Linked DNA regions of Rhinolophus ferrumequinum. The protein of the gene in region 3 interacts with the protein of the main gene of each other region in a pairwise test. Links are inferred from orthologs where the notes say so. Each region holds a gene or a part of one and is shown on either strand. Other genes may lie near its edges.

Evidence for each region.
Region 1: the proteins of ATXN1 (region 3) and ESRP1 interact in binary tests that used the Homo sapiens proteins (3 or more experiments, as listed by UniProt). The link is inferred for Rhinolophus ferrumequinum from reciprocal best matches to the Homo sapiens genes ATXN1 and ESRP1.
Region 2: the proteins of ATXN1 (region 3) and EIF4ENIF1 interact in binary tests that used the Homo sapiens proteins (3 or more experiments, as listed by UniProt). The link is inferred for Rhinolophus ferrumequinum from reciprocal best matches to the Homo sapiens genes ATXN1 and EIF4ENIF1.
Region 4: the proteins of ATXN1 (region 3) and TENT5A interact in binary tests that used the Homo sapiens proteins (3 or more experiments, as listed by UniProt). The link is inferred for Rhinolophus ferrumequinum from reciprocal best matches to the Homo sapiens genes ATXN1 and TENT5A.

The regions. Positions count from the first base shown.
Region 1 is NC_046297.1:35,970,626-35,978,110, forward strand, and holds the start of ESRP1 (epithelial splicing regulatory protein 1), read left to right. Parts: upstream 1-4,438; 5' UTR 4,439-4,756; coding exon 4,757-4,888; intron 4,889-5,409; coding exon 5,410-5,538; intron 5,539-6,790; coding exon 6,791-6,904; intron 6,905-7,485. UniProt on the Homo sapiens protein: mRNA splicing factor that regulates the formation of epithelial cell-specific isoforms. Specifically regulates the expression of FGFR2-IIIb, an epithelial cell-specific isoform of FGFR2.
Region 2 is NC_046308.1:20,406,784-20,414,600, forward strand, and holds the start of EIF4ENIF1 (eukaryotic translation initiation factor 4E transporter), read right to left. Parts: upstream 3,233-7,817; 5' UTR 3,085-3,232; intron 2,926-3,084; exon of another isoform or gene 2,800-2,925; intron 2,776-2,799; exon of another isoform or gene 2,655-2,775; intron 2,152-2,654; 5' UTR 2,125-2,151; coding exon 2,029-2,124; intron 1-2,028. UniProt on the Homo sapiens protein: EIF4E-binding protein that regulates translation and stability of mRNAs in processing bodies (P-bodies). Plays a key role in P-bodies to coordinate the storage of translationally inactive mRNAs in the cytoplasm and prevent their degradation.
Region 3 is NC_046292.1:78,029,321-78,036,711, forward strand, and holds the start of ATXN1 (ataxin-1), read left to right. Parts: upstream 1-4,108; 5' UTR 4,109-4,306; intron 4,307-5,272; exon of another isoform or gene 5,273-5,482; intron 5,483-5,502; exon of another isoform or gene 5,503-5,515; intron 5,516-7,391. UniProt on the Homo sapiens protein: Chromatin-binding factor that repress Notch signaling in the absence of Notch intracellular domain by acting as a CBF1 corepressor. Binds to the HEY promoter and might assist, along with NCOR2, RBPJ-mediated repression. Binds RNA in vitro.
Region 4 is NC_046286.1:40,706,238-40,713,928, forward strand, and holds the start of TENT5A (terminal nucleotidyltransferase 5A), read right to left. Parts: upstream 3,174-7,691; 5' UTR 2,901-3,173; coding exon 2,881-2,900; intron 2,673-2,880; coding exon 2,114-2,672; intron 1,002-2,113; coding exon 225-1,001; 3' UTR 1-224.

The DNA.
Region 1 (7,485 bases), on a different chromosome or scaffold from region 3:
TTTCCCTATCTCTTCACTTCAAAGACATTGGACTTGTCTAGGGAGTATAAAATGTAATTTCGTTTACAACTGCATCTAATACAAATAAGAAATATCAATAGCTTGTAGTAGCCTCACAACACAGGCTTTTACTGTGATTTGCTTTTTAAAAAACTGATATAGGGCCGGCCCTGTGGTCAGGTGGTTGGAGCGCAGTGCTGCTAACACCGAAGTCGCCTATTCAATTCCCACAAGGGCCAGTGAGTGTGAACAGCCGGAGCTCGGCGAGCTGCTGTGAGCCGACAGACCACTGGCGACAGACTGCCTCAGCCAGGGTGGGGAGCGCAAGGCTCACAGTACCAGCATGGGCCAGGGAGCTGTGTCTTACACTAGACTGAGAAACAATGGCTTGAACCGGAGTGAGGGGTGAGGCAGAAGAAGGGGTGGAGGAACTGAGATATAATTTACATACTGTAATCTCTACACTTTTAAAGTGTGCAATTCAGTGGTTTTTAATATTTCACATTTGTGCAACCATCACCACTATCTAATTTGAGAATATTTTCATACTTTGATTCACTTTTGAAGGCTCGTTTCTTACAGGTACAAGAGAACAATGAGGTATGTGCAATTGAAAACTCCAATAAAGATCCAGAGATCTCAAACAAAACTGGAGTCAGCAAGTTGTAGTGCTGCTACCATAGTTATAAAAAGGGAACTGCACTGAAAGTAGTAAACATGACATATAGTTATCACTGTGTCAATGGTCAGGTCACAGCAGTTGAATTCCATCCATTTTAAGAGCTACTCTCTAAAACAGATAAGAGGAAAAGGGTGCAAGGAGAGTAATGAAGACAAAGAGTAGGAAAGTAAGTTTAAGGATGAAAGTTTTAAAGAGTTTGCAGTAATTTAGTCTAGGAAAGTTATTTAAGGACAACCTTAAAGTATCTGAAAGGATTGTTATACAGAAAATGGTGACCTTTTCTTTCTCCTCCTTTCACTAAGGAAAAGACAAAGAAAATGGATTCATTCTGCAGTATGAAGGATTAGGTTAGCATTAACAAGTCATGAGACAGAGCCTTGTTAAACAACAGAATGGTGGTGACAGCAAAAAGTTATCTGATACTTTTCCAAAACTTTTAAAAGTTGCAACGAATAATATAAAGAATTCCTTTACTCAGATTCCTCAATATTAACATTTTACCACATTTGCTTTATCTTGTATGTATGTATGTATGTATATTTTGTCAGAATCATTTGAGTGCTATACACATGATTCCCCTTATCCCTAAATACTGGTACTTCCTAAAACAAAGGACATTCTCCTGCTGAAACACAGGCATATTACAAAAATCAGGAAATTAACACTGATACAATACTATTATTTAATCTACAGACCTTCAGACCTTATGCAATGTTTTCCTATTGTCCCAATGTCCTTAAAAAAAAAAGCAAAGTTTTTCTGATCCAGGATCCATGTTGCCATGTGTAGTTGTCATGTCTCATAAATTCCTTTAATCTGGAATGGTTCTTCAGTTTTTGTTTTTCATGACCTTCATGGTTTTAAGAATACAGGCCACTTATTTTGCAGCCTATCCCTCAATTTGGGTCTCTGTTGCTTTGAAAAAAAAAAAAAGATTTCATTTGTTTTTGGGAGTTTTAAGGATCGTCTCCATTAAAGACAACGGGTAGAATGAGCCTCTCTTTTCAAGATTCCTCACACCCACCTCATACTGATTATTCTTACTATATTAGAATTACTTATAGATGATGGGATGGACATAAAACATTTTTGTATTCAGAACTAAGCTGCTTGTACCGCATAGTTTTTCTTGGCACCTCTGCATTTTACAAGAGTTGAATTTCTTTAACAAAAGTAGGTTTGTCTGTCAAAGAATTAGCACCTACTCTTTTTAAACATTTGAGACTTAAATTACCTGTAGACTCCCATTTTCAGAATCTCACGTTCGAGGTAATAAGCTATGCCCTAGCTCAGGAGACAAACAGCTGCAACAATGGGTGGGTGTTACTCATTATAATCACTCAACAAATATTTGTTGAGTATGTAGTATATGTCAAGCTTTATTCCAAGCCCTGGGAATACCTTCGAGAAAGGAACAAAATTCTTGTCCTTGTAACCTAGTTGGGCAAATTAAAATTTAAGTGAAAAACAATCAGAAACCAAAGATCTGACTTCCTTAAACAGGAAGGAAAGTCTGTGAAAAGGGGCAGCCCTGAGATTCGATTCTAATATGAATAACTCTGCGGAATCCCTGGCAAACGCGTTGAAAATCATGTTCTCAGTTTCTCTAAACGCGCTATACAAATGACTAATCCGAACACCAAAGGCCTGAAAGGATGGGCGCAGCAGGACTTCCTAAGCTTTCTAACCACTTTCTCAGACACAGTGGTTGTCCGGCGTTGGACCTCCGGACCGCGCCGCACGCGTTCGGGTGCACCCCAACAGCGCCCTGCACCGGGACCTGCACCTTCCGGCCCTGGCTGGGCAGAGCACCTGGGAACCGCGCACCGAGAAAGCCCCGAGCGAAGGTGGCTCAGGGAAACCGGCTCCTCCAGGAGGCCTCTCCCACTGCAATGCAATCTGGGTGGTTTTTCCAGGTCCCTCCCTGCCTCTCTCGGAGCCTAGTCCCTGCCCCCGTGACGCCTGCGGGCCCCGGAGGGTGGCTTGGAGATACCGGGACAAGGCGGGGCGAAGCCGCCGCTGCGAACCAGCTGTGGATTGCGGGGGCTCTTTCCTACCCCGCATCCTGCAGTCCAGGAGGGAGAAGCACGCGCCGCTGGAAACCTAACTGCAAACGAGGGTGGTACAGATCACCCTCGCTGGCCCTTACAGGGCTGCCTGCCCCGGGCATAGCCCGGCCTCCGTCCGCACCCCCAGGACGCTAGCTGCTACCTGCGCAGCGGGAGGCAGCTTCGCCGCGCGCAATCCCAGCAGCCAGGAAACGCGGCGGCGCGGGCCTCATGCTCCCCAAACACTGCCCCCCACCCAGAGCCTCAGCCCCTTCCCCACTCCGGCCGGGCTTCCTCCCCGTCGGGAAAGCTCAATCGCCAGCTTCCCCTTACATGCGTCCTGAAAGGTTCTCGGGTTTATACCCAGAGTAGGTTACTGTAGCGATAGGGGTACGGTTGCGTGATATCTCATGAATATAAAGGGCTGGACACCTGGAGCCGAATTAATAATACTTCAGACGAAATTGTGTTCCCAAGACTAGATCAGTTTGAAATATGAAACTCGAGGAAACCACTGCTACCGCTTTGCTCTCTAAAATGTCAACAGGACTCACTACAGAGCCGTCCAACTTGGCTAAGGGGAAGTGGTGGACTGCATAGCCTCTGGGCAGACCTAACCCGAGCTAGAGTAGGGAGACTGCTTCGGAACATTGGCCAAATCGACACAATTACAGAGGCAAATGTAGGAGTAGAGAGTGTGGGGTCAGTGGCAACTGAGGAAAAGCTGGCTCTGGCCTGATTTACAAAAACTTTCGGTACGCCGGGTAGCTGTCTTATTTTGGGTCCAGGGCAAATCAAAGGAAGTGGGCCCCTGCCCTGGAGGAGATTCCAGTCTCGAACAGGCAGCCAGGACCAAATAAGACGTAGCATTTAAGGGAGTCATTGAGAGAAAAGGGAGAGGGCTCCAAGCACCTGAATTTCCTCCCGGGGTACCTCCTCCTGCTTTGCGCCAACCAACTGCTTTGAGCGTGACTTATGACTGAACGTCCAGCCCCGGGAGCCTGGCTCTGCCGCGCGCGAGGGTTTCACTCCCGAAGGTGGGCAGTGCCTCGGGGTTGGAGCGTGCGCCCGGGCTCCGGGCCGAAGGGAACAGCCCGCAGGGCCTGCTGTTTGCACTTACAGGTGTGTTGGGCTCGGGAGCGGCTTTCCGGTGCTTGGCAATTGCCCCTGCCACCTCCCGGCTGCCGTTGGCGGTCCCTCCCGCCGCGATATGCCTCTCCCGGCGCGGCGCTCTGGGCAGTTCCGCACTTCGGGCCTCCCCTCTGGTCTCCTTTCACCTCCCCACGCCAGGCCTTTTCGCTTGTCACTTTAGAACCTCCGCATTCGTTCCCCACAGCCGGCATTTCTCCAAGCCCCCACACCTCTCGAATACCTCCCAAAAGGTGTGACCCCGACTCCTCCCCTTCCCCCGCGCCTTTCACCCTTCACCCTTTTCCCTTCTGGCCTCGTCTACCCTCAGGGTGGAAACCGTCTGCGCGTCTCCCCCTCCTCCCTCTCGCCCTCCCCTCTCCATTCATCCAGCCATTGTCTCCCGCCCCCTCCTCCCGTTTCCCTAGGCTGCCTCCTCCTCCACCGCTGCCACGTAGTGGTTTGAAGGAGCCAATGGGCCGGCGCCGCCAGGTGTCTCTTACCTGCACCACGTGGGGGAGGGGTAGAAGGGGCGGGCAGGTAGAGCCACAGCCCCAAACAGAAAAGCTTTCAGCCATTGCGCGCGCCTCCCGGGGGTGCAGCCCTGCTCCAGGCTTTTTTCATAGACGCACCGGCAATTGGATACAAAAAGGGCAGGTCTCCTGCGCCCTCCTTCCCACCCCTATCCTGCCCTGGGTGTGGAGTACCGGCCAGGTGTGGGCTTGGGTGGCTGGTTACCGCCTTTTGCACAGGCGGCGGCGAGGAGGTGGAGGAGGAGGGGGGGTGGGCGCTCTTTCTTTTTCTCTTAGGAGAGGTTTTAGGACAGGTTTTCTTGTTCTCATTTACACCCTCCCTCACCGCCTCCCGAACCCCTATTTCCCCCTCCCCACCCATCACCATGACGGCGTCTCCGGATTACTTGGTGGTGCTTTTTGGAATCACTGCTGGGGCCACTGGGGCCAAGCTGGGCTCGGATGAGAAGGAGCTTATCCTGCTGTTATGGAAAGTCGTGGATCTGGCCAACAAGAAGGTATTTCTCCACGTTTCTGTCCAAATGATAGGGGTGGGGCAAGAAGTTTGTTGTATAGAAATTTGCGGGGGGAGGTCAATCAACAAGTGCTCTTGTTTTCCCACTTGTGAGGCGGGACCTGGGGCCTAGAGAATCCAGAGTAAAACCAAACTTGCTGGCCCTCCGCCTTGGAGCCATTTCAGCCCTCCAAAATCTGGCTCAGGTGGAGAGGCCTGTCGCCGCCAAGTCAGGTTCTCTGCCCGTCGGGGACGCCCTGCGGAACCCGGGTGGAATCCCCCGGGCCCCCTGTGCCGGCTTCCTGAGCCTTTCCGACCCGATCCTGGTGGGGGTGGGGTCGGGGGCTGGGCCGCACCGACCTTTCGGCTTCCGGAGCCTCTGGCGACCAGTGAGCTTTGATTCTGCGGCCAGACCCCTCCCGAGGCGCGGACCGCCCCAGCAAGGGAGCAAAGGAGTAGGGTTGGGGTGGGGAGGCTCTTAAATTGAGGAAGGGGGAAACTGACTCCTGCTTCTTTCCCCCGGAGGTGGGACAGTTGCACGAAGTACTAGTTAGACCGGATCAGCTGGAGCTGACGGAGGAGTGTAAAGAAGAAACTAAGATCGACACCGAAAGCCTGTCCTCCGCGCCGCAGCTGGACCAAGCTCTCCGACAGGTGACGGCCCTGGGCCGTGCCGCCCACCCCCAGCCTAGCGGCCCAGGCGTCACCCCCGAACCCACCCCCACACCCGCCAGCGGACCCAGGCCTACCAGGCCCCACGCCCTCGGCTGGTGGTCCATGCGCGTCCCCGGTGCTTGGTGGCGAGTCGCCGGGCGGCTTGGGTGGAAACCCCGCCTGCAGGTCGGGGTCGGATCTTTGGGAGGAGGTCGCTGTTTCTCTCTGTTCTCAAACCCCAAGACCTTGGGCCAAAATTCGCTAGTTTTCTAGTTGTTTCCTGAGTCATTCCCTGGGTCAGAGAATCAGCTGGGTTTTACCAATCGCCTGATGAGCGGAGTTTGAATACTACCTCGCTCATCCACCGGCCCAGATGCCAGGCGCGCCTGTTCTCTTCGGGGGTTTCGGTCTGCGGCTCAGCCCTGGGGCAGGAGGCGCTGTGGTGTAGAGCGGCCGGCCTCGCGCCAAGTTCTAGAGGCAGCCTCTGTTTGGTTTCAGGATTCTGAACTCCCAAATGCTGGGTTCCGGTTCCATTATTTTTAGTGGCCTTGGTCCTAACGCGGGGGAAGGTTTGCAGGCCGCGTGACATGCAGGGCTGCTTGTTGGGTCACCGTGAAAGTGGTGGAATCCACTTGTGGAAACGAGTGACCTAAAAACTGGCTGCTTTGAGGTGCTGACGGGTACTGGATCGAGTTAGGGCAGGGCGCTAAACACCTGTGCACCAGAGAGTGTCCGGCGCCCTCCTGGCCCCTGCCTGCCCTAGCATATGTGTTGCGAATTATAGTGGAAAGTGATCATTTCTGAGGTGTGTTTCAAGGAAACGTGTTACCAGACTTTCCATAACCATTACCCACATTGCCCAACTGGCATTTTAAGCCTAGAACATTCAACCATAAAAAAAAAGTAACAGCAGGGAATGATGTAATCCGAAGGCAATCTGCTGATGAAACAAGATCTCTGATTTTAAAGTCTTGGATTTTTCGCAAAAAAAAAAAATAGAAAGGGGTGCGGACGGAAGGAAAAAAGAATACATTTACTGAATTCTGTGCAAAACTGCTGGTTGATTGGAAAGCTCTGTCTAAAGGAAGCTAGACAGTTTGTGGGAACCAAATTTTTCTAATGTCCCCAATGCCAGTGTCCCTCTTCACTGTAGTTAGTGCATTTTTTTTCTCTGATTGTCACGACCAACTGGGGCCACTTTGCAAATTGTAAATCCTGCATCAATTACATTCTTGTGTCTTTTTCTTTTCAGTTTAACCAGTCAGTGAGCAATGAACTAAATATTGGGGTAGGAACCTCTTTCTGTCTCTGTACTGATGGGCAGCTTCATGTCAGGCAAATCCTGCATCCTGAGGCTTCCAAGAAGGTAAGAGGGCTCAGTTCTCGAAAGGCAATTGGACCTTTGGGGTAACTGGAGGCTTTAAAAAAAAAAAAAAAAAAGATTTTTTCCAAGTTTTTCGATTTTAAATAAATGCATATGGGGAGTTATTGTTTCATGGGTACAGAATTTCGGTTTGAGAAGATCACGAAGGGATGGTGATGATCCTTGTACAAGAAAGTGAATGTACTTAATGCCACTGAACTGTGCACTTAAATTGTTAAAATGTTAAATATTGTGTTATGTATATTTTACCACAATACAAAATTCATGATACTTTCATAGAGATGTTTGAGACTGCAGTAATTTTATAGGTACCCTTGGGTGACTTAAAAGCTTTGTATATGTCAAGTTTTTTAAATGCTTGACATTCTCCTTTTTCCATACTTAAAATAACTACAAGTAATAGGAGAGAACTGTATTTTAATACACCATAACATTCCCATCTGTGTGGAAAATGCTTTATCCAAGAAAGGAAGACGCAAAGAAAAAGAAGTTCAGAGAAATCTTTTTAATTCTAATTCTAATTTTATTTAAAAGCTTTGTACTGCCAAGGTAAGACTTAATCA
Region 2 (7,817 bases), on a different chromosome or scaffold from region 3:
GTCCAACTGGCAGGTGACAACATTTAATACGGGGTCAGTGGCAAGATACAGAAGCAAAGGAGGAACAGCACAAAGTATGCATATTTTGTAATCTAACATCAATTTGTTCACTTGAAGGAAAAAACACACAGATCTGAATGGGATGATCCAAAGCATTTCTATTGTGTAGTTCAAACAGAAGATAGTATCACTAATAGAAAAGCAGGTATTACACCTCGAGAACTGGTGAACAAAGATCCCTGATGAAGATAAGAAAAAGTTGAAAGGGTCTCACATAAAATTACTAAAGTAGAGAAACATACATACGAAAGCACTACCCTAACATTGTTTGAACACAATCTTAAACCAGCCATTAACTAAATTCTGTTGAATGGGGCGGAAAGTAAACCTATTTCCAACTAAATTTGTTAGTGAAGACCATTAAATCTAAGGTCTGCTGTCATTAACTTAAAAAACGCCTTTCTTAACCATTTTAAGCACATTTATCTAAATACGGCAGAATTCTGAGGCTGGACTGTCAAAAATGGGCAATACTGAGATTCTTCATCTTTATTGTAGACATACATAAGTTCTACCCTAACAGAGACCAATAATATCTTTCTAAAAATTACTTAAGCATAAAGATGGATATACATTAAGTATGATATATACATGCCACCTTCAGATCAGTGTGTGAAAGTGATTCAAAAGCCTCTCTGCCAGGACTCTACAAAGAGAATACCAGTTAGAACTTTTATTCAAAAGGTGCCGGCTGAGTTGAAATCACAAAAGCAGTTCAAATCAGTTTTCCTTCATTTAATAAGCATTTCTCCATTCAGAATTCACCTGTCAACATTTCAGGTGATGAATTTAAGTTGTGAAATACTCAAGCACTCTCAGGTTTGAGGGGAACTACATTTGGGAAGACCAAATATGAATGAAGTACTAAAGTGCTTTCTATCAACTCACTGTGATGCCAAAACAGATTGTGTTAAGACAGCAATTAACCAAGAACTCTTTTACACCTGAAAACACTTTTTCTTCTAGAGAGTTTTTTTTTAATGCTGAAAATGAGTATTACTGACATCATTTGATACTTTATCAAGTAGGTAAGAGTAACTTTATCAAGTAGGTGAGAGTAGTGGTACCAGTACTCAGACAAAGCCTGACTTTAAAATATTAACCCATCAGTATGCTGGGAAACTAGGGACAATAACTACACCAGAGTCCTTGATTGGTTCCATACTAAAAAAAAGACAGATATGGGCCCACCTAGGACATAACCCTTCCTGTCAACTGTCCCAAGCACATTTTATGTATTCCAGCCCAATACATTTCAGGGAACCAGAATGAATTCACAGCTGAGTCCTGCAAACCTCTTCAGAAACATTCAACAGTCAACAAGATACTGGAACAATAGCTTCAATAAATATACGACCTTGAGGTGATTTGCAACTCCCTGGAAAAAGCAAGTATCTAGACCGAGCAGTTCTAAATCACAGGTTTTTAGCTAGGGGAAATATAATTGAAGTCTTACTTTTGTGAATCCACATCTAATTTATAACTGGAAGTAAAAAACAGAATTAAAAAATCTGGTTACTCCAGTCAAGCACCTAGAATGCACCAAAGAGTATTCCTTTGGGGTGTTCACCTCTTAAAGAAACATCAATACAGAGGACACTGGTTTTGTGAGCCATCTCAGAGCTGGAATCCTTACTCTATAGCATGTAAGTCAACAACATACCAGACACACACAGCTATTACAGAATTTGTGTGCCAACATACACTGGTCCACAAATTCATATGGGAGCTGAGCAGATATTCCCTTCACCTGAAAACTACTTAGAAGCAAATTCTAGTTTAAACTCGGTATTCAGACTTAGAAGAAAAAGTTCAAAGCCATGCTTTACTAAATCTAGTTAATATTTAGTCCATTTAGTAAGTCAGAATGAGACTACACTTTAGATAATACTAATGAAATACCTACACAATGTTACTAACCTCCCCACCTTTATAAAGAAACACTATTTCAGTAGTAACAAAGCCTACTTTTGTATAGCGATGGGGGGATTTCGAGGCCGGCTGCTTCTTCAAGTCAAGGAAAGCATCTCCATTTTCTGTTTCGCCCACACTTCTCCTATCCATGGCTCCTTGGTCTACAATTCTTTGCACCTGGAAGATAAATCAGCACAAAACTGTCACGGAGAACAATAATTTTTCAGAAGTCTTAACTGTTTAAGAAACTGAAACTCTCTCTTAAAATGACTACCTTTAAAAAAAAAAAAAAAACCCTTACAATTACGCTATAAACCAGAACCCAATTGGAAATAAAACCACTGGTAGTTATCTCTTCTAGTAAATAAAGTGCTCTAAGCATCAAAAACGTAAGGAAAGAAGTGGAAGGTGCCCAAATTAGGGTAGAGAGCCTTTAAGCAGCTTTACTACAAAAGGATATCAAGATTAGTCGTTGCCACCCATAGGGACCGTTCAGGGAGTAGAGGGGAAGTTTCCCGGAGTGGGGGCAGATGGGAAACTCGTTGGGGCTGGGGATCCGGTAAGTCGGGCTGTAATACAGTGCCTGTCACTTGCCAATGGACGGCGCCAGCTGCCCCTTGTTATCCAGGGGCCAGGGTCTGGGGACGGAGCCCGAGCGCCCCTCGCCCAGCCGGCCGCACCTGTGGCCATGTCAGGGGCGCCCGTGGCAAGGAAGGAGCGAACGCCGAAACTCAGCTTTCCCGGGCCGCGACCCCAACCCCCGGCCTCTCGCGCAGGCCCCTACCCAGCGCCTTCCTTCCGAGGAAGGGCGGGGATGCTACTCACGAGGGGAGGCGGGCCGGAGGGAGCGGGAGGCCGAATCCCCCGGCCCGGGCGCTAAGCGCAGGAGCCGGCGCAGGCCCGCCGCCGTCCGCTCCGGCGGCTCGGGCCCCGCCAGCCCGCTGCCCGCCCGCCACCCCGCTGGCCTGGCGTCCCTGCCCGCCCCCCGCGCGCGCCCCGGCGCTCGCGCTCAGGCACGCGACCCCGGGAGCAGCGCGCCCGCGCCCCTTCTCTCCCTGCGGGCCCTGGCGCGCGGCGTCCCAGACCCCGCCGCCGCAGCCAGCCCCTTACTCGGTGCCTCCGCCGCTTGGCGGTCTTTCGCCACGGCCGTCGCTCCCCTCCCCACCGTCCGCGCCGGTCCGAGGGCTACTCCGCGAGGCCTTCACGCTCGCCCCCCTAACCGCTCCGGCTGTCTCTCTTCAGCCGCCGTAACCGCGGCCCAGCCCTCCGCCCCTCCTCCCTGGCCCCCTCCTCCTTAATAACTCCCTCCACGCACCCGGGCCCCAGCACCGCCTTCGCCCGGATGTGAGGTGGCCGCGGCAATGCCGGACGGAAAAGAGAAACATCGCGACGCGCTTCCCGGGCGCTGGCCCCTGTGTGCGCTCGGTAGCGGGAAGGCGGTGGCTGGGAGGCGGTGGCGGCGGAGGCGAGGAGCCCGGGTCGAGGGCGGCGGAAGCCCTCCCTGGTGCGCGCAGGCGGTCGTCGTGGGCAGCCCCGGGGAGGATGCCGCGTTCCCACGCGCGCTTCGGGGCGGGGCGGAACGGGATGGGCTGTGCTTGGGGCCCGCGCCAGGCTTTCCTTTTGGGAAGGAGGTGGCAGCAGGGAAGTGGGTCGGGGTCCGCGGCTTGGCCCGACTTGGGAGCGTGTCGACGGCTGCGTTTGCACAGTTCGAGCTGGCGGCGAACCCAGGGGCTAACCAGTGCGAATGAGTTAGGCGAACCTGGGGGCTTTTGAGCCTTCCGGGTGTGGGCTCGAACCTCAGCTCTTTTACTAGTGGTATAATTTTGGTGACATCTCTGAGTTTAGCTCTTATCCTTTCTAAAATGGTCTCTCTGTATAAGTCTGTGAGGAATAAACGAGATCACGCGTTGATGCCTTAGTAGGCAAACTTGCCACGATTGCTTTTGATTGAGCTAAGGGCGACAAATGTATTGAAATGTTCCCTGCCGCCCATAACCAGAAGTCTGCATGGGAAGGGAAAGTGCAAGTGTGTGGGTGAAAATGAGATGGCGAACGAACGTCAAGCACTTCGTACCCAGTGCCGAGACTCTGGCTGACAGGGACACAGAAACGCAAATGTTAAATCCCTACTCTGTGAGCAATGAGAGTAACTGCTGTGCGTAGGGGGGCTGGGGGGAGAGGAGCCGTCAGGAAAGGTTTGACCGAGATCACCTGTGAGCCTGTTCTGCAGGATTATCACCAGCTCGTTTGCCCAGTGGGACCGCCCAGGGTTTGTGTAAAATGATACAGAGGTGTGGAAGGAATCATAGCTTTTCTTGCTAAAGGGTATCGAAGTCTACATTTCTTTGAAGGAGACTACTTTCTTTAGCTTCACTTTCTTGTGAAATCAGATTGGGCAGTGAGTTATCACTTAGTCCTTCCTGGAGTTTTGACAACAGAGAAAAGAATTATGAAAACGTTTTTCTTTTCCTCTATAATACTGAATAAAAAGTGTTTCTTACAAATGATCTGTTCTCTGCAGGCAAGAGGTAGAGGGAAACATTTGCAAATTGGAGGAGTTTGCATCCCAGCTCTACCCTATAGGCCGTGGAGAATTAGGCCCTTTATTTTTAGCCCTGATTTTCTCATCAGTAAAATTAGGAAGATGATAACCCACTCAGAGGGCTATTGTCAAGATTAAATGAGAAAAGGTGGGTAAAAAGCCTTACACAGGGTCGGCCCAGTGGCTCAGGCAGTTGGAGCTCCATGCTCTGAACTCCAAAGGCTGCCGGTTCGATTCCCACGTGGGCCAGTGGGCTCTCAACCACAAGGTTGCCAGTTCAATTCCTCGAGTCCCGCAAGGGATGGTGGGCTCTGCCCCCTGCAACTAAGATTGAACACGGCACCTTGAGCTGAGCTGCCTCCCGGATGGCTCAGTTGGTTGGAGCGCAGGCTCTCAACCACAAGGTTGCCGGTTCAATTCCTCGAGTCCCGCAAGGGATGGTGGGCAGCACCTTGCAACTAAAATTGAACACGGCATCTTGAGCTGAGCTGCCACTGAGCTCCCTGATGATGGCTCAGTTGGTTGGACTGGAATGCGTCCTCTCAAGCACAAGGTTACTGATTGGACTCCCGCAAGGGATGGTGGGCTGTGCCCCCTGCAACTAGAAAACGGCAACTGGACCTGGAGGTGAGCTGTGCCCCTCACAATTAAGACTGAAAGGACAACTTGAAGCTGAACAGCACCCTCCACAACTAAGATTGAAAGGACAAACAACTTGACTTGGAAAAAAGTCCTGGAAGTACACACTGTTCCCCCAATAAAGTCCTGTTCCCCTTCCCCAATAATAATAATAAAAAAAAATCTAAAAAAAAATGTCAAAGCCTTAATGGTATATTAAAAAAAAAAAAGCCCTATACAACCTCCATAAAGCTGCTGGATATTTTTTTTAAGCCTATACAGAGACATGTTGTAGGTGAGCAAACAATGGTGGTGGTTATTATTAAAACCAAATTGCTTTTGGAATCCAGGTTCTTCCTAATGCTGAAGAAATGGTCTAATCTCCTTGCCATTATGGAGTAATGGAGATGCCTGTTCTTTGAAGCTCTTAAATCCTAATCTCTGCCACTTGGTGTCAAACCTGAGCCAGTCATTTCACTTTTCTGGACCTGTTTACTCCATGTCAAAAAATGGATAGCAGTATCTACTTTCTAAGCTTGTAGTGGGAATTAGACATAACATATTAAAAACACTGTTCTGGTTATCTACTGCTGTGTATAAAATCACCCCAAAACTCAGTGGCTTAACTCAACATTTATTTTGCACCCAAATCTGCAATTGGGCTGGTTCTAACTGGGACAGCTGGTCTCTTCTCCATTCAGCATCATCTAGAGCAGTGGAAGGCTGAGGGCTAGGATCATCTAATGGCTCACTTACATGTTTGGTGGTTGATGGTGGCTGTCAGTTGGGAACACTGGAGCTGTTGAAACACTTACACAGGGCCTCTCTATGGCCTGATCTTCCTCACAACATAGTGGCTGGATTCCGAAGGCAAGTGTCCAGAGAGAATAAGAGAGTCAGTCAATTGTTGCACTTTCTAACCTAGCCTCGAAGTCCCTCTGTTCTGCCACATGCCACATTCTGTTCTTTACATAGGAGTCACTAAGTTTGGCCTATATTCAAGAGGAGGGGACTTAGACTACACCTTTATATGGGAGGAGTGTTAAAAGAATTTGTGAGCATACTTTAAAATTACCACAAGCCACATGTGAAATCTGCTCAAGGCAATTCACTATCATGATATTGGCCTGGCTTGGAGCTAATTTCCTGGGCCCTCTGGTCTATCCAAGTTAGGATGTATTCTTGCACCAGCTCTTTTAATGTCTTGTAGAACTTTGTTCTCAACTTACCTTTCAGAGTCTCAATTTGTCCTTGTGAAAGGAGAAGACAATTATTACCTAGGAATAAAGGTAATAATATACTAAAAGAGGCCATGCAAAAGCTAGATCCTTGCAAACACTTGTTTCATTATAGCTTTTGAATGTTATTCTCCTTAGCAGGAATAATTTGGAATTCTAAGTGCCCCTTTTTGCAACTAACAACTTTCAAATACCAGTATGGGAAACCCCTTGAGAGAGTAAGAGAAATGATTTATTCTAGTTGCTTACTAAATATTTGTAAGATCTTGGTTTAGGTTCAAATTGTTGGTTCCAAGTTTGGCCTAAGGGAACTCAAATATTCAGTCAGTTGGGAAATTAGCAGTCCAAGAACAGTAAAGAAGCAAATGAAAATATTAAAAACCTAGAAAATTTGAGAGCAGCCACTTCTCAGAAAGTTGAAATCACAACTCAACTGTCCTGTACTTCTCTAAATGGGCTTTTTCCTACTCAGTTTTGTTTGTTTGTTTTGCTCCAAGGGTAATTCTTAGTTCCAAGAAAATAGGATATGAACAGTTTCACAGTTGTGCTATCTTGTACTCAGATTAAGGACTATCAGAAAATTACTAATGGACTTCCGGAAGATCACACAGCAAATTATATTCAGAGCCTAGACCCCTTCTGGCACTCTACATCTTTGATTTTATATATGAGAAGTACTTAAAACAGCCTGACACCATGTAAGTGCTGCTGCCCTAGCTATTCTGTACTATTATGTTCCTATCTTTCTCAACAGGACTTTTCATAACTCAATTGGAAAGGGCTTTCATCCCTTCCTAAATTATGATGGTAAATGCATGTGACAAAGAAAGCGCCAGCAAATCATCTAGAAAGCATGCTTATTGATTTATTGTCTTGGATATGTCATGATTTATATAAAATACTTATAAGAAAGACTAATTTTACAATAAATATTACAGTGTTAATTAGGACTTTGAAACTCACTAAATTTTTTAAAGCTTCTTGGTCGCATATCTTTAGATAAGAGTTGTTCGTAAAAGATTGGCCCCAGTGTCCCACTAAAGTGGAACTCCTCTTTTTTAAACACTTTTTTAAATTACAAAAATTAACATACGTAGAAAATAGAGCGAAAATACAAATTAACCTGTGATTCCATTCCTGAGACAACCAACAAGTTATTTTGCTCATGTTTTTAACGTAAAATCTTTCAAGCATTTATATACATGATGCTAGCCTTTGGTCTCTCCACCAGACATCTCACGTGCTTTCAAACGATGTTTTACAAAGCACAGTAGAAAAGTATTAAAAAATGCCTCACCTATCCTCCCCCACCCCATTTTTTAAAATGATCAGAATGGACCCAAATTTTAAAATTTAACAACTATTCACTAACAACTAGTGCTTATTAATTATAGTTTTAAAGGAAGGGTTAAGAGAAGATACCAGCCTAGGATAATTTTAATTCG
Region 3 (7,391 bases):
CTTTTATTAAACTGTAAAGAACATGCTGTTGGATCTCTAACCTCTGATTTCTCTCTTCTCTGAACTTCTCTCTTCTCTCTCTTCAATGGATAATTGTAACAATCAAATGTCCCAGCGCTATGAAAGCACAAGTCAGTTCCACAACTGTTTTGAGGCTTGCCTTTCTTTCCCATGTCTTATCTACCTGGCAGGAGTGTTTAAAGATGGAATACCGAAGGCTATGAAAGGTATAAAATGCTACATAGATATAATTGACACATACGTCCTCACCACAGTAAACATTAAGGACAAACCCTTAAAATTACCGTGAAAGTAAACATGGTGAAAAGTGCATTCTTTCACCAAGACATTTGAGTCCAAATGAAACAAACTTACCTGACATAGTGTTGGGTTAATTGACCTCAACGTTTTAAAGAGATAAACAGGAGTTACTCTTAGAGTTGCATTATTCTATATTGTATCTTTATTTTTTCCCAATTTTACTGAGAAATAATTGATACACACCGCCCTGTAAGTTTAAGGCACACAGCACGATGGTTTGACTTACATATATTGTTAAATGATTATGTTATTTTTATTTTTGACTGGAGAAAAGCTAAGGCATGTTTTCCAAGTATGACTTTTGAAGTCTACTTTCTTTTAGGAATTCAAGCCTAAAACTCTAAATAAGTACATCTCCATTCTATTTAACTGCCAATCTGTTCACTATTTATTTGTTATAACCTGGTAAGCTGTTTGTGTTTGCTTGTTTTTGTTTTGTTTTGAACTATACAAAAGGCTACTTCCAATGAAAACAAATACTACAATTTAAAACCCCTTACGATTGGGCTGCCTGTACACTTGTTTTATTAAGTACTCTTTTGCTCCCTCTGCTGCCATGAAGAAAACCTTCACGTTCAAGACCCCAGCACTTTCCTCACAGTGTTCTCTTGGCAACGATGATGCAGATTTGTGTATACATCAGAGCTCTTCAAAAATGCAGTACTATTTGACCAAAGCATAGAATGTAATAATTACTCATTAAAAAGTGCAAATTAATAAAAGAGGGAGTAAATAAAAAAGGAATAAATAGGAGAATTAAGTTCTGCATCTGTGGCCAAATTCATATAGACAGAGCCCTGTAGTATAGAATAGAATTTTTCACACTTGAATGTGCTTAGGAATCACCCAGGGGCTGGTTACAAGGCAGATTCTGATTCAGTAGGTCTGGGGTGGAGCTCTCATTCTGAATGTCTAGAAAACTCCCAGATGCTGCTGCTGCTATTCTGAAGACTACGTTTTTCGACACAAGACATAATGATATAATATATTCTTGATAGCCCGTTTTAAACCTTCAAAAATAGATACTACCAAAAACAGTGAAATAGATATAAGGGATGAAAATGATTTTCCATCGTGTTTAAGCAATACAGAACACAAATTAGGAGTAAGGCTCAGCAGGCCTTATTTCTCAATTTCCTTTAATTTCAAAGTTTGACTTATGCTGTACAAATATAGTATCAGGTTTATGAATAGGACCACAGTACTACATATTTGCCTACTGGCTCCTTGAAAGCTCTGCTCTCCTTTCATTGAGTTTTTATTTGCATAAAGAGTCATTTTTAAAGAATTAGTACCAGTTATTTGTGATTGTACATTTACTATTTTGTCATCTGAAAATAAGACATTTCAGTGCTAAAGGTAAAGAAAGTATATCATGAGTATTATGTTTATGTTGGTTGGACCTTGCAGGAAGAAATAGTTACAGATTTTAATAGCAGTTTATGGCTTTAATCTTAATGGCTAAGAAAGTAAATGACACATTTGTTATTATTCTTACTTTTTGGGTAATATACATTTTAGCTTCCTTGAGAGAATATTTAAATTAATTGACTAACCTGAATCATGTGTTTTAATTTGATTAAGTTTGTTAAAATAACTTAAATTTAACTGTTTGTGTCAATGTAATATTAAAATATTAGCTCTTTTTTTACTGAAAATTCTCTAAATGTAAGATGTCTAAAAATAGAGTCGAGGTGGATTGGACAGTCTGCAGATTAGGAGCTGGAATAAAAACATCTCAGTTAAGCCAAAAACATGGCAACCAATATTTTCTGTTATAAAAATATTTTAGATGAGTTCAGTTTTTATGAAAGCTGTCTGAAACTGAAATGAATAGCAGAAGCTCTCTGTTTATTCACAGGCCAGTAATAATAATACCTGCAGCACAAAGCATACGTCTTTTCCTGCAGACCCAACAGCTTCTGCTCCTTTTAGAAGCCGGCTCTGCCGGGGGAAGAGATTATTACCCGGTTATGTCTGAGGTATTAACCTTCACCTTGGTAATGCTTGTCAAGGAACACAACACCAGGCAGAGCCTTTTTAGGAAACTGATTTTAACTGTCCACTAGAGGCTGTAATGAGACCAACAATGTCATTTTACACCAACCCAGTGTTTAAACTGTAACAATCACTGATTTTTAAATAAAAAAAAATAAAAAAAGAAGTTGTAGAAATGAGTAAGAGTGAACTGTAGTAGTTCTATTTAAATAACCATGTATATGTACATGGTATTTCAAAATGTGAGAAAGAAGTTATTTCCGGGGCTCTACACCTTCCTAGTTAGTATGCTTATTTTTTATTTCTGTAGCACGTTGACTCTACAATACAGTTGTTCAAAAGCTGACACATTTCTCTTGGTGATTCTGTATCCTGCTTCGGCTGGTGACTAACCGTTAGGTCATAAGTAAACTTAGCCAAAAGGTTTCTCAAATACAGCTTACAGTCAATAGTGGTGGCTTCCAGAGAGAAACTTACGTAGAGGGATCATGTTTCTAGACACTTGGTTCTAAGCACCTGAAGGAGGTCAAACGCTGCCCGGACACCTACTGGTCTTCCAGAATTACCTGCAGCCAGGGGAACGCCGCAGTGAGCTCCCTTTCGCAGGGATGTGCCTTCTCTTCCTCCAGGTGCCACACCTGTTGGCAAGGTGCACCCTTCGAAAGAAGATTCCTTCCCGTCGAGCTAACACCTGGCGGTGATACGTGCGATGTGTGTGGCGCGCGCAGGGGTCCGGGGGCGAGGGGGAGGAGCGGTGTGGTGGGGTAAGAACCGCACTTAAAAATTGAGTCCAGAGTAAATTCTTCAGCCTGGAATCACGAGAACTGCCATTTGATGCTCGGTTTGCTTTCTCTATCTCCTACACTGGTTACCTCATTTCCGATTAAATTAATGATCCCGAATTAGCTGCGAGAGGAGTGCGCAGGTCGTCTACCAAGGCTAGAGCTGGGTAGAGGGCAGGGAGGTCACCGGCTGTCCCAGGCAGTAAAGGTTAGGGGCACGTGCAGTCCGGGGGGGGGGTCCCTTAAAACTTTCCAGAGTTGCACGCAAAGGCACTCCCCGTGCCCCGGTGGTCTGGGTTCCCGAACGCCGAAGCTAAACCGGTTTGAGGATTAACGTGAATGATGATCGCAGTCAGCCCTCTTGGACGCTTTTCGGCGCGCCCGGAACCAAGGGCACGTAGCAATCAGAACTGGTTCGTCTCCCCTCCCCCTGGGGTATTTCATTGGCTCTGAGCCGGAGAATCCTCCAGGGTGCCTGAGTTGCACTCCGTTGTCGTTCTGTCCCCTCCAACTAGGTGCAGGGACCCAGGGAAGGGAGCGAGGACCCACCAGTCACCGCTACAATTACCTCATCGCCTCACTTCCCCGCCCCTTTCCCAAACCTGGAAGAACTGTCCCCTCTGACCCAAGTCTCCCTGCCCCCCTCCCCCCACCACCCACCCCCGATCCCGAGCCAGTCTTGGGGGGAAACGCTCCAGTCTCTCCGAGGGCCGCCGAGCCCGGGCCGCTCGCACCGAAGGATTAAGGGCGCGGGCCAGCCGCCCGCCGTGCGCTCGCCGGGCTCCGAGAGGCTCGCCCCGCCGCCCGCCGGAGGGTGTCCCCCCTCCTATCACCCCCCCCCCGTCGGATCCTTGAGCTGCGGCGGCGGCAGCCAACTGCTCCATATTTGGCTTCTATTACACATTTACATACTGGAGCGAGCGAGCGAGCGAGCGAGCGCGAGAGAGCGCGAGGGAGGGAGGAAGGGCGGAGGGAGGAGGGAGGGAGGGGAGGAGAGCGGGGGGAGGAGGAGGAGGAGAGAGCAGAGTATACCGCAGACATCATTTCTACTACAGTGGCGGAGCCGTACAGGACCTGTTTCACTGCAGGGGGATTCAAAACAAGCCCCGTGGAGCAGCAGCCAGAGCTACAGCAGCCGCAAGACACTGTTTCTCTCCCTCTGCCCCCCCTTCCCCACGCCACCCCAGATCCATTTACACTTTACAGTAAGTGGCGATTTTTTTTCTCCTCTGATTCTGTCTCTCCCCCTCCCCCATCCCCTTCTCCCCTGATTTAGATTAAGATGCCCCCCGTTCTCCTGAGAGGGGCCAAAGCAACAACCAGCAAACAAACCCCAAACCCCAATCGGCGGCACCGAAAACAGCTGGAAGAGGAGCGAAGGAAACCGACGCGGCGTGTTGTGGTGGTGGTGGGGTGTGTGTGTGTGTGTGTGTGTGTGTACACACAACCTTCCTCGGCTCCAGCCTCCCGAAGCGACACCCTGCTCAGGGTGCACGGACCGCCAGCAGGGGGGCTGTTGGGGGCCGGGTGGGCGCCCGCCGGGTGAGGGGGCGCGCCCGGGCTGGGGGCGCGGGCCGGGAGAGTGGCGGTGGCGGCGCCTCGCTCGGGCGGCTGCTAGTCCCGCTCGCGAGTGTGGAGAGCTGTGTCCTTATCCCTGGAGGTGGCATAAGGGAGGCGACAGCGGCCAGGGGTCGCGCTGCCCACTCCTGTCGCCGCCCCCTCTTCACCCTTCTACCCAAAGAGGGCGGCGAGAGCAAGCGGGTCTGGACGAGGCTGGGCTGTCCCGCCGGTGGCCGCCTGGCCTCGGAGTCCCACGGCCGGGGTCTACCCACCGAGGCCGGCCTTTCCCGGCGTGCGGCTGCGGAGCCAGGACTCTGCGCGCGGCCCGGCGCAGGCTGTGGGAGCGCGGGGGGCGCGGAGGGGTGGGCGCTGGGTCGCGGGCGTGCGGGTGCCGGGAGCGCGGCCGGAGTGGTGGCGGCGGCCCTGGCTCCGCTACCACCGCCGCCCTGTTGGTACGGCCGCTTCCTGATCCTGTGGCCGCCGCCGGGAGCCGGGAGCCCGCGAGCGCCCCAGCCCGGTCCGGCACCCCCGCCCGCACCCGCGGCGGGAGGAAAGGAGCGGCAGCAGGCGCTGCCCTGTGGGCGCCAGGAGTGAACCGCCGCGCGACTGCTGGGAGGGTGAATGAAGCCAGGAGCAGGGGAAGGAGGAGGCGCTGCGGCTATTGGGATGCGCCCCGGAGCTCCGCTGCTCGTTCACTCCTGGCCGGGCCGGAGACGCTGCCACTCCCGCGGCCGCCGCCGCCGCCTCCTACGTGGTCCCAGCGCAGCGCGCAGGCCAGCCCCGCAGGGGGCAGGGAAGGGGCCGGACGGGCGGAGCGAGAGGTGAGGCGGTGGCGGAGCGCGGCGGGAGTGTGAGTGAGTGAGCGTGCGTCTGTGTGCGCGCGCGGGGCGGGGGCGGGGGGGTCGTCCACAGGGGCCGTCGCGATGGGGAGAGGGCCCGCTGAGGCCACTTGGCTGACTGCAGCGCCTGACCCCTCCTCAGCCCCCCGCCCGCAGGCCGCCTTCCCAAACTCCATGGCTTGTGCTTTCATTTTATTTCAGACCACGTAGGGGGCTGACTGGAAGCAATGAAACAATCCAGGTTTTCTAGGGAGATTAGCAAGAACCTTGGTGGGGGTGGGGGGGGTGGAAGTAGGGTGGTGGTGGAGCTCCTGCCAGAAAACAAAAAAATCCCTTCCTAAGGACTGTGAGGTTCGGTTTAGTCCCGTGGAGGCTCTGTTTTGTTTTGCTTTCTTAGTATATAATCCTACAGATAAGAGGGTAATATAAATACTTCGGAAGATTGGGAATTGCTGAAGAGTGAGTAGTAAGGGCGGAAAAAAAAAAAGCCAGTCGGAAGCTGGTTATATAATGCGCGATGTGGCTAACGAGAACGGCAAGCTATTTTTATTTTGTTAACCGTATGCTGTGCAGTAGGGACTCCTCCAAACTGGTTCTGTACCCGAAGAGATTCTTAGCTTCCCTGTGAGATCCACAGGATACAATGAGCCAAATTAGAAGACCCCATTTACACCCACAGCCTTGGAGTGGCATACTCCCTGCACATTCTGTCGTGCATGCACGGGAATGCGTGTATGCAAATAAGTTCTCCTTTGGCAATCTAGTAGTCACAGCTCGATGACATTTGTGTTTTATAATGCAGGCTGTTCTTAATATTTAAACATCATCCTTACATATCGCACACAGCAGTTACTTGATGGTTATTTTTAGGCTCAGCTAGTTACTTTTCAACATTATTAGCTAAGCCAGTTCTGTTTGGGTTTCTGAGGAGCCCTGGAGTTCCTAGAAGCCCCTGTTAAGCCCACCTTGTGGTTTATTTGGTGGGTGAAGATTGTTTGATTGTTGAGCTTTTGTTTGAAACGAAGCTTATGCCTAGGGAAACCACCAGAGAGGAGGACAAGAAAATCCTGCATATAAACTCTTGGAGAGGGATTGCACCATAACTGCTAAGGCTGTGGCATTTAATCTCCTCTGGCTGCCCTCTAACTGTACATGCATCAGTCAGTATTTTAGCAGCTCCACAGACAAATGGGCTGCTACTTAAAGCAGAGGTTGAAGTCTCCCCTGAACCTCCTGCCTCCCTGTCTTTCTCCTCTTCTAGGTACGGTCAGTGGTGTAGGTTTTCAGTGCACTTACTCCAGCCCCGATCACTCATGTAATTAGATCAGGCTGCCATGGCAACAGACACTGTTCCTTGTCCATTCAGGTGGGTTTGTTTTGTGCTTGGACTACTCCAAGTGTTTTATGCACAGTATTTGTGCTGCCCAAGCCAGACGAGAGACTTCACTATTTCAATTGCGTCTTCTTTCAGTCATTTGGACGGGAGACACTGAATGAGGCTTCTCGCTACTCTTATAAAGGAGACCAACAAGCTGTTCTTACTGGGTGCAGTATGTAAATGTCTCTCCCCAGACAGTGAAAGGAGCCTGACAATCCTGCTGGTGTTTATTGTGAACAGATCAACAAGTATTTGGTACTTGTTAGAAACCTTTCAGAGCTGACTAAAGCAACATTTCTTTTGCCTTCTGGTACCATTGGCCTTGCAGGCACTTAACCCTTTCAAGTGTGAAAGTGCTCATCCTTTAGAACCTAAGTTGCCAGTTAGTCATGACTGGTTTTCGAAAGGGTTTATTCTGCAGAAGGAATTTATTTGGGAAGGATATCACCATTGTCATGTTTTAAAACTTTACAGCCATCATAATAGAAAAATCTAGGACTGACTGTCAGGAGA
Region 4 (7,691 bases), on a different chromosome or scaffold from region 3:
AATTGGATAGGAGGACCGGGTGGGTAGGTTGCTGGTGGGTGGGGATCATTTGGAGATCACGCTCCCATACCTATGAAAGGATCCACAAGCTTTGCCAAGCTTAAAACCAGGAGCAGATCATCATTGCACAAAACACGTCCCTAATCAGGGCTGGGTCATTCAGCCTTCCCTCCCCCCCTTTCTTGTCTGAAATGGCTTCCCCACAGGACATTTTAAAATAATTCTTAATTGCAGGGTAGCCAAGTGGAGTATGTCTGTTGCTGGCATGTGAATACTGGCTGGACTTGTGCAATGTAGTAATTGCTAAAGTTGGCATCTGCTACATAGGGGGCCGGTTGGTAATAGCAAGTGACATTGGCCACATTAGGGATGACATTTTGGTCAGCTAGCACCCGGATAGCCAGCATTGTGATAAGGTTTAAAGTCTGTCTTCTTTCATGTCCCATCAGGCACACTGTACTCTCATTTACCACTCCATGAAGGGTCATGAGATAGTCATACTTGCGGTCTTCCAACCCCACGAAGTGGTTCTGTAAATAGGACTCCAGTTTTCTCTGCTGTTCTCCAATGTCTGAGAAGTCGATGAAAAACCTGGAACACATATACCTCTGAAGGGTCTTGATCTCATCAGAGGCAGGCCTAAAGCCCCTCACTAAGAGGTTGCAGTACTTAAGCAAGCCTCCCCCTCTGATTTCCTCTGGGTTCCTGGTGGCAATGATCTTGTTACAAAGGTGATCAAAGGCTTCGTGGAAATCACCATAGACGCTCTCACCGATTATCGTGGGGTGAAATGTTTCAGTCATTGGGTTCTCTGAACATTCGTAAAAGAGGAGAAGAGAGTCTAATTTGATTTGAAAAGAATCTACACTAAATTCAAACTGCCTCCGGAGGGAATCCACAAATTTCAGTTCCACATTTTTGCCACTGTTGTTTGACAGGGATATAAGACTCCAGCGGTCAGAGTCATTGCACACTTTAACCATTTTCTGCACATAAGCTTCCTACAATTCAAAAGATAAAACAAGAAGATAAGCATACCTAGAAAAGATCATAAATAAATACGTCTTCACAGATGAGATTCATTTTGCTCCTTCCCTTTTGTTTTGTCAAGTTTCAGCAAAACACTACCTACAGGCTTAAATAGTCTTCCGAAAACAGAAAAAAAAATACATTTAACGAGTGGTTTTACAGTCTGGGAAGGAGACTAGAAGTAATAATTTGAGGCTTTTGGCAGATGTAGCACAGGACTGAGAGGTTCTGTTGTCTTGTCTGACTTTTGAAGTGTTATTTTTTGAAAATGGTCTTACAGGTACAACATTCACACAATATCCACACAATAATCAAAAGACAGAAGAGGATACAGTGAAAAGTTAGTCTGCCTCTCATCCTTGTCTCTAGTCACCCAGTTCTTCTCCCCCTGAGGCAACAGATGTGATCAGTATCTTGTCTGTCCTTCTAGGGGTACTCAGCAGTTACAATCAAAATGAACTATATTAGGACATTCTGGGAGGCTGATTCCTCAGACAATTTTAACTAAACATATAAAACGCGCTTTGAACCAAAGTAGGGAGGGGGGACCCACTATACCTTAACAAATGAACCAACCCGGAGAAGCACCACATTTATCCTAAACACACAGAGTCAGCTAAATGCAGCTAGGAAACCTATTCACATTTTCCAATACAATAAGCTCACTGACTTGGTTCTGCTTCAGGCTGCTATTTTCTCAAAGGCTACATCATAAAATGACTCAAAAAATGATTTACATCATTTCATTCTTCCACTTAGAATCTACTCTGAACAAGGCTCAAGCAAGGAAAGCCAAGAGTTAAAAAATAAGGAGAAGGAAGAGGAGGGAGGGCAGAGGAGGAAGCAGAAGAATTGTGGCGCTGAAGCACCAAGTCAAGTACAACGCTCAACACTGTTCCACGCACCTTACTTGACTCATTTTTCTTTTTTAAATCAAAAGCAAAGTAAATAAGCGCGCCCAAAGCTGTCACGGCCGCAGATCTGTGGCATCAAACACAAGTCCCTCTGAAAACCCCTTTCCCTCGGCCCGCCGCACCCCAGCCCAGCCCGGGTGCGGACCCCAGCCCAAGTCGGGGGGCTTTACCTTGAGCGTGAGTGGTGTGATCTTCTCTTTGTTCACCCCTTCGGGTAAGAAGTCCAACAGGCAGTCCAGCACGACGTCCTTCACAGTCTGAAACTCCTCTTCCCCGCGCAGGTCGGCGCAGAAGATGAGGTCCAGGTCCTTGTAGCCCAGGCCGCTGTCCTGGTGCAGGACATGGCTGGCGGCCGAGCCGTTGAGGCGCACGTCGCGGACGCCGATGCACTTCTCCGCCAGCCGTCGCCGCACCACCTTCACGATCAGGCTCGGCTGCAGCTCGAGCGTGGGGAAGTTGCCGCGCCCGTGGATCGGGATGATCTCGCTCAGGATGCCGTCCAGCCGCTGCACTTGCTCCCAGTTCAGCACGTTGCAGTGCGCCGTGGAGCTTTCGCAATAGTCCAAGCAATGCCCGCCGAAACCGCCGCTGACGACGACTTCGCCGCCGCTAAAGTCGCCGCCCAGGGGGATGTAGGGGCCGCCGGCCAGCTCGTCCTCGACCATGGCAAAGTACCCCTCGCCTTCCGCCATGAAGTGCCCGCCGAATGCCACTTGGCCCTGGTCGGTCCTAAAAGAAGAAAGGAAAAAAAAAAAAGAGGGGAGAAGAAGCTAGGTGAGGACGCCTGGCTGCGAACAGGAGCCCGTAGAGGAAAGAGCGCGCCCCCTCCCCGGTTCGCTCCCTGACCGACTTGGGGACTGACTCCTCTGAGACTCTTCCTCCCCAGCCCCTCCTGTCCCCAGCCGCGCGCACCGCGCCCCGCAGAGCAGCCCCGCACCAAAAGTATCTCTGATGCATCTGGAAAGCGCAAGCGGGAGTCCCGTCTGTGTCACCTGGAGACGGCCGCCCCTTCTAGGAGCGCAGCGAGCGAGGAACCGCGAAGGGGCAACACTTCCAGGAGCTGCGACTGCGCTCCAGGCAGCGGCGAGCGACTTAGTCCTTCCCAGACCCCAGCCGCCTGAGCTGGCCACTCCCGCCTCTCGCCCCCGCCCGCGCTGCTGCCGTCTCAGCTGCGGTGGTCCTAGAGGTGGCGGCTCCTACTACTGTTGCCGCCGCCGCACACGCTCCGGTCTCTGGAGCTTTAGCACTTATGCGAGGGAAACGTCTTCAGTACTTTTTTTATACCGGGCCTCTCCGCGCTTCCGGGGCCCTGGCGCAGCGCGTTCGCCACACCCTCCTCATCTGCATAGGGCGCCGCCCCTGCCCGCCGGCGGACGGAGCGCGGAGCTGCCCGCGCGCTGAGCCCCCGGGGCCCAGCCAAGCGGTTTTCAGAGCCCCAGGCCAGTGGCAGTACTTGTGCGCGTATATTACGTGCGTGTATTTATACATATATCTCTCTTACATACAGCCCCCTCGCCCATGCGTGTTTTTTTTTCCCCAACGGAGGAGACAAAAATGTCTCACGGGTCCTAAGTGGTCCTCAAAACTGGAACATAACTAAAACCTCGCAACTACAGAAACTTCCCAAACATAAAATTCTCGCCAGATGTGGTGGGTTCTTACAGATGATGGGGCTCCAGAGGTTCTTCACGACTTCCCTGTTAAACACCATGTACTGTATAGCTAGACGGTTTACTTCATTAATAAACCCGGTCTCTGGGTGAATTCATGAGTCCACTTGTCCATTCAAAGCGGTCGCTGCGCCTGAGAGGAGGGGCTCGCGCCTTGGGTTTCGATTCTGGAAACGTCGGGAAGCGCCTGGAAGCTCAGGGCGAGCTTGAGGAGACGCGAGGGCGGGGCCGCGAGCGTGGGTCCGACTTCTGCGCACGAGCGGCTCCGGGAGGCCGGAACAGAGCCCTGGCCGGCGCGCGTCACTGAGCGGACTCCCGGGCGGCTGTGGCGGCCGGGTGGCCACCGGCCAAAGGCCGAGGCCGGGGGCGGGCCCAGAGCGCCCGGCGCGGGTAGCGCGCGGCCTTTGGGGCGCGCAAAGGGCTCCTGCGCGGAGCCCGACACTTCGCAGCGCGACTGTTACTGAGAACCGCAGGAGGCAAAGCGCGGTAGGAATACCGCGCTGAGGTTTGCCTTTTTCAAGTGAAAACAAATGTCAGTGGGAATGAGCTAGTTTGCTAGTCACGGTGCGTGTTTACAGGATAAAAGAGTTTCTCCCCGAGCTTCGGCGGTGCGAAAGGAGTGTAAAGATTATCCCCACCCGTACTCGCACCACCATCTTTGCTAGAAAGCTCGCCCTCTGCCCACCCTTTCTTCTGGCCGCTCGCTGCCTTTCCCGAACTAGGAGGAACTTTCTTCTACGTAGAGGGTCCGTGAGGCTAAGGTGGGGTGGAAGGGGAGAGCGCCGGGAAGCTGGAAACTTCCTCGCGTGGCCCTGCGCCACCCCAGCCGCCCAGCCTGGAAGGGAGAACAGACCGCCCCCTCTAAACTGGGGGAGCCCGGGCCTGGTCACCAAAGCTGCGCGCCTGGTGGGGTCCGGGGAGGGGACGGTCACCCGCGGAACATCCAGCAGTGTGACAACGCCGCCCCCTGCCGGTGCCCTGCAGAGCTGTGTCCCAAAGCAGAGAAACCGGCGGGACCTTAGAAGGTAGCCATTACCCTTCAGCAATGTGGGCGATCTGGAAACGGCGGAAGCCAAGAGAAACCACACAGTTCTCATAGGCCATCGCCTCTCCAAAAGCACACACGTATTCCCGTCCAACCATCTACGCTTAAATCCATTCATTCTATCCAGGCATTCAGCAAAATTACATATATGTGTATCTATGGTTTGACCACCTATGACCTGCCAGGCACCAGGCTGAGTGCTGAGGATTTAAGAATGACTATGTTTCACAGAATCTCGTGGGCATGACAGGCAAGTCCATAATTATGGTTCAACTGTATATGTGTCATGAGAGAAGGAGTGGTGGGCTAACTAGGATTGGGGGAACTGGGAGAGAAGACCAGAAGAGAGAGAGAGGTTATTTGGGTAGAATCTTGAAAAGTGAACTTTCCTTGGATAGCTGAGGAAGGAGAAAGGCATTATCAACCAAGGGAAGAGTATAAGAGAATTCGAGAATGTTTGAAGATGTATAAACCACCACGGTAAAAAATGAGATCAGTAGTGCATTTGGATAAGGTTTGTGGGAGTTCGAGGAATTTATTGAGCACTTCTAGGCCATACTCTGCTTAGCTCTTTAGACATAAAACCGTATTTACTCTTCAAGGAGAAGGTAATCTATGGCATAGGGATTTGAAAATAGAAGAACCTAGACGTGAAGCGATTCGCCCAAGTTTCATGGCTAATAAGTGCTGGAGTCAGGCCTTAAACCCAACTCGTTTGGCTGTGAGTGCTGTGTAGCCATCATTTTCAGGAATGGGATGTCTGTTACCAGTACCTTCTCACTGGAAGGCAAGACAAGTACAAATAGCAAACAGATTTGAAAGAAAAAGAGGAGGCCTGTTAAAAATGTTTCTTTCAAAGGCCAATATAAATTCTGCCCCTTAAAACAAGGCCAAAGAGGTAGATCATATATTAGGTACACTGAGCTGAAAAAATAAAGTTTAACCCCACTACCACTATTTTGTACTTGATTTTAACTCTTCGTCAAAAAAAAACAAAACAAAAAAAAACAGAAGAGTCAGCTAGTGAGCACCGATGCTTCATGTACGCTCAGGATTTTGTTCTGTGGGGCTAAAGAAATCATTTTAGCAAGTTGCGCATGTGATCCTGACACAAGGGCTCAACCATATTTTGCACTATACTGATGAGAGCCACTGCAGTTCTCTAGGTTGGGACCCTCTCTCAAAGAGAGGCTGCTCTTCTCTGCCGGGCTGCTCTTAGGGACCCTCCCAGGAATGGAGCACATAGCTGAGAGGCTGAAGTAGCACATGAGGCACACATGGAGGGCCTGCTATTCGTCAGACCCTGTTGTGGGGAAAAGATAAGTTCTAGCAGCAGTGGGGCAAGACCCTCCTCCCAAGCTACCAGAGCTTGTGACTGACACTTCCTTAACCCTTTAGCAAAGCATTCCCTACTCCCCAACCAGGATCTCCCCTCACAGCATCCTTCAAAATCTCCATAATCCAGAACCTACCAACTCTTGCACTAGGACATCTGGGTTATCTTACTCTTGGCAGTGCCTTGATGCTTTGACTGGATTCATGTGTGCACGATTCATAGTGGCCACTCAATAAAATTGTTGAATGAAAGCATCTGTTATTCTTTGTCCTTCTTCTCCCTGTCTTCAAACTGACATATTTACATTCTGGAGGAAAAAAATGTTCATCCTTACATGAAATTGCAAATTTTGCAATTTTAAGCATTTAGTTTTCTTCTAGCTAACCAAAATAATTATCACATGAGAAAGCTTATACTTTCCAAACACATTCACAGCCAAGAAATTGCTCAGCACAGATTAAATTTAGGTGCAGACTTGCATTTTTTCCCCCCGGCTTTAGCTTCTGAACCTATTTGGTAAATAATTTACTTTTCCCTATTTAAAAGGGGAAAAAAAATCTATGGCAGTATGATGCTATGAGTCTCTACCTGAAATTCTTAAAAGGAAACTTTACATACATTTTTGAGAATTTAAAAAAACACTTATAATTACTTGATTTTGATTTAAAACGTATAGTAACAATCCAATCAGTCCAGACTTAGCACAATAAGAAATTCAATTTTAGCCTTTAAATTGGTTACCATTATTTAGTTTGTTATGATGTGCCAGGCTCAGTATTTTATATACATTATTTCTTTTCAACTTTCTTCAAATATCAGAGCTTTACATGTTACATTCCCATTGTCCAGATAAGGAAAATAAGGCAGAGAAAGGTTAAGTAACCTACAGAAGGAAAAGAGCCTTGATTTAGAGCACGTGGCTGCCCTCCTAGTCCCTTTTTCATTCTTGAGTCTGTCTTCTCACTTTCCTTTTACACTTAAAACTGAACTGGAACTGCACCCTGCTCCTTTTTTTTCCAGGTTCTGAATGTTCAGATCGGACACAACATTGAAGACCAAGGTGTTTTATCCTGAAACAACCATTGAGGGCCAGAATGCACAGTAAGCTAACTGGGTTTATGGGAGTTTCTTCCCTAGCCATGAACGATCTGTCTCTAAAATAGTAGAGAGCTAGGAAGCTACCAGCCTTACAGAGAGCTTCCAAGAAACCCCACTGACGCTGAAGGAGTGTGAGGCTTGGAGACTGCCCCAAGTGCATTTAACGGTGGCACTACCTTTCCCATTTTGCTTTGTCTGCTTCCTATCTTCTCAAAAATGGTTTTAGAAGATAAGGAAGCAAATATGAAATGATTCCCCCAAGCTCATACCCAGAAGGAGAGAAAAAGAGAAGTGCATAGAAAACTGCTGTTAGTAACCCTTATTTTACTTAATAGTGGCCCCTAAACGCAAGAGTACTGATACTGGCAATTCAAATATGCCAAAGAGAAGACGTATGTACAGGAAAAAACAGTATATAGGGTTCATTACTATCTGTGGTTTTAGATATCTGCTAGGAGTCTTGGAACATATCCCCCGTGGATAAGGGGAGACTACTGTACCTGTTTTCACAGGGACATGGTGCTTGTGAAGTGACTTTCCCCATGCTTCTTCAGGGAAATAACAAATATTTATTCAGGATTTATCGAAGGCCAGAAACA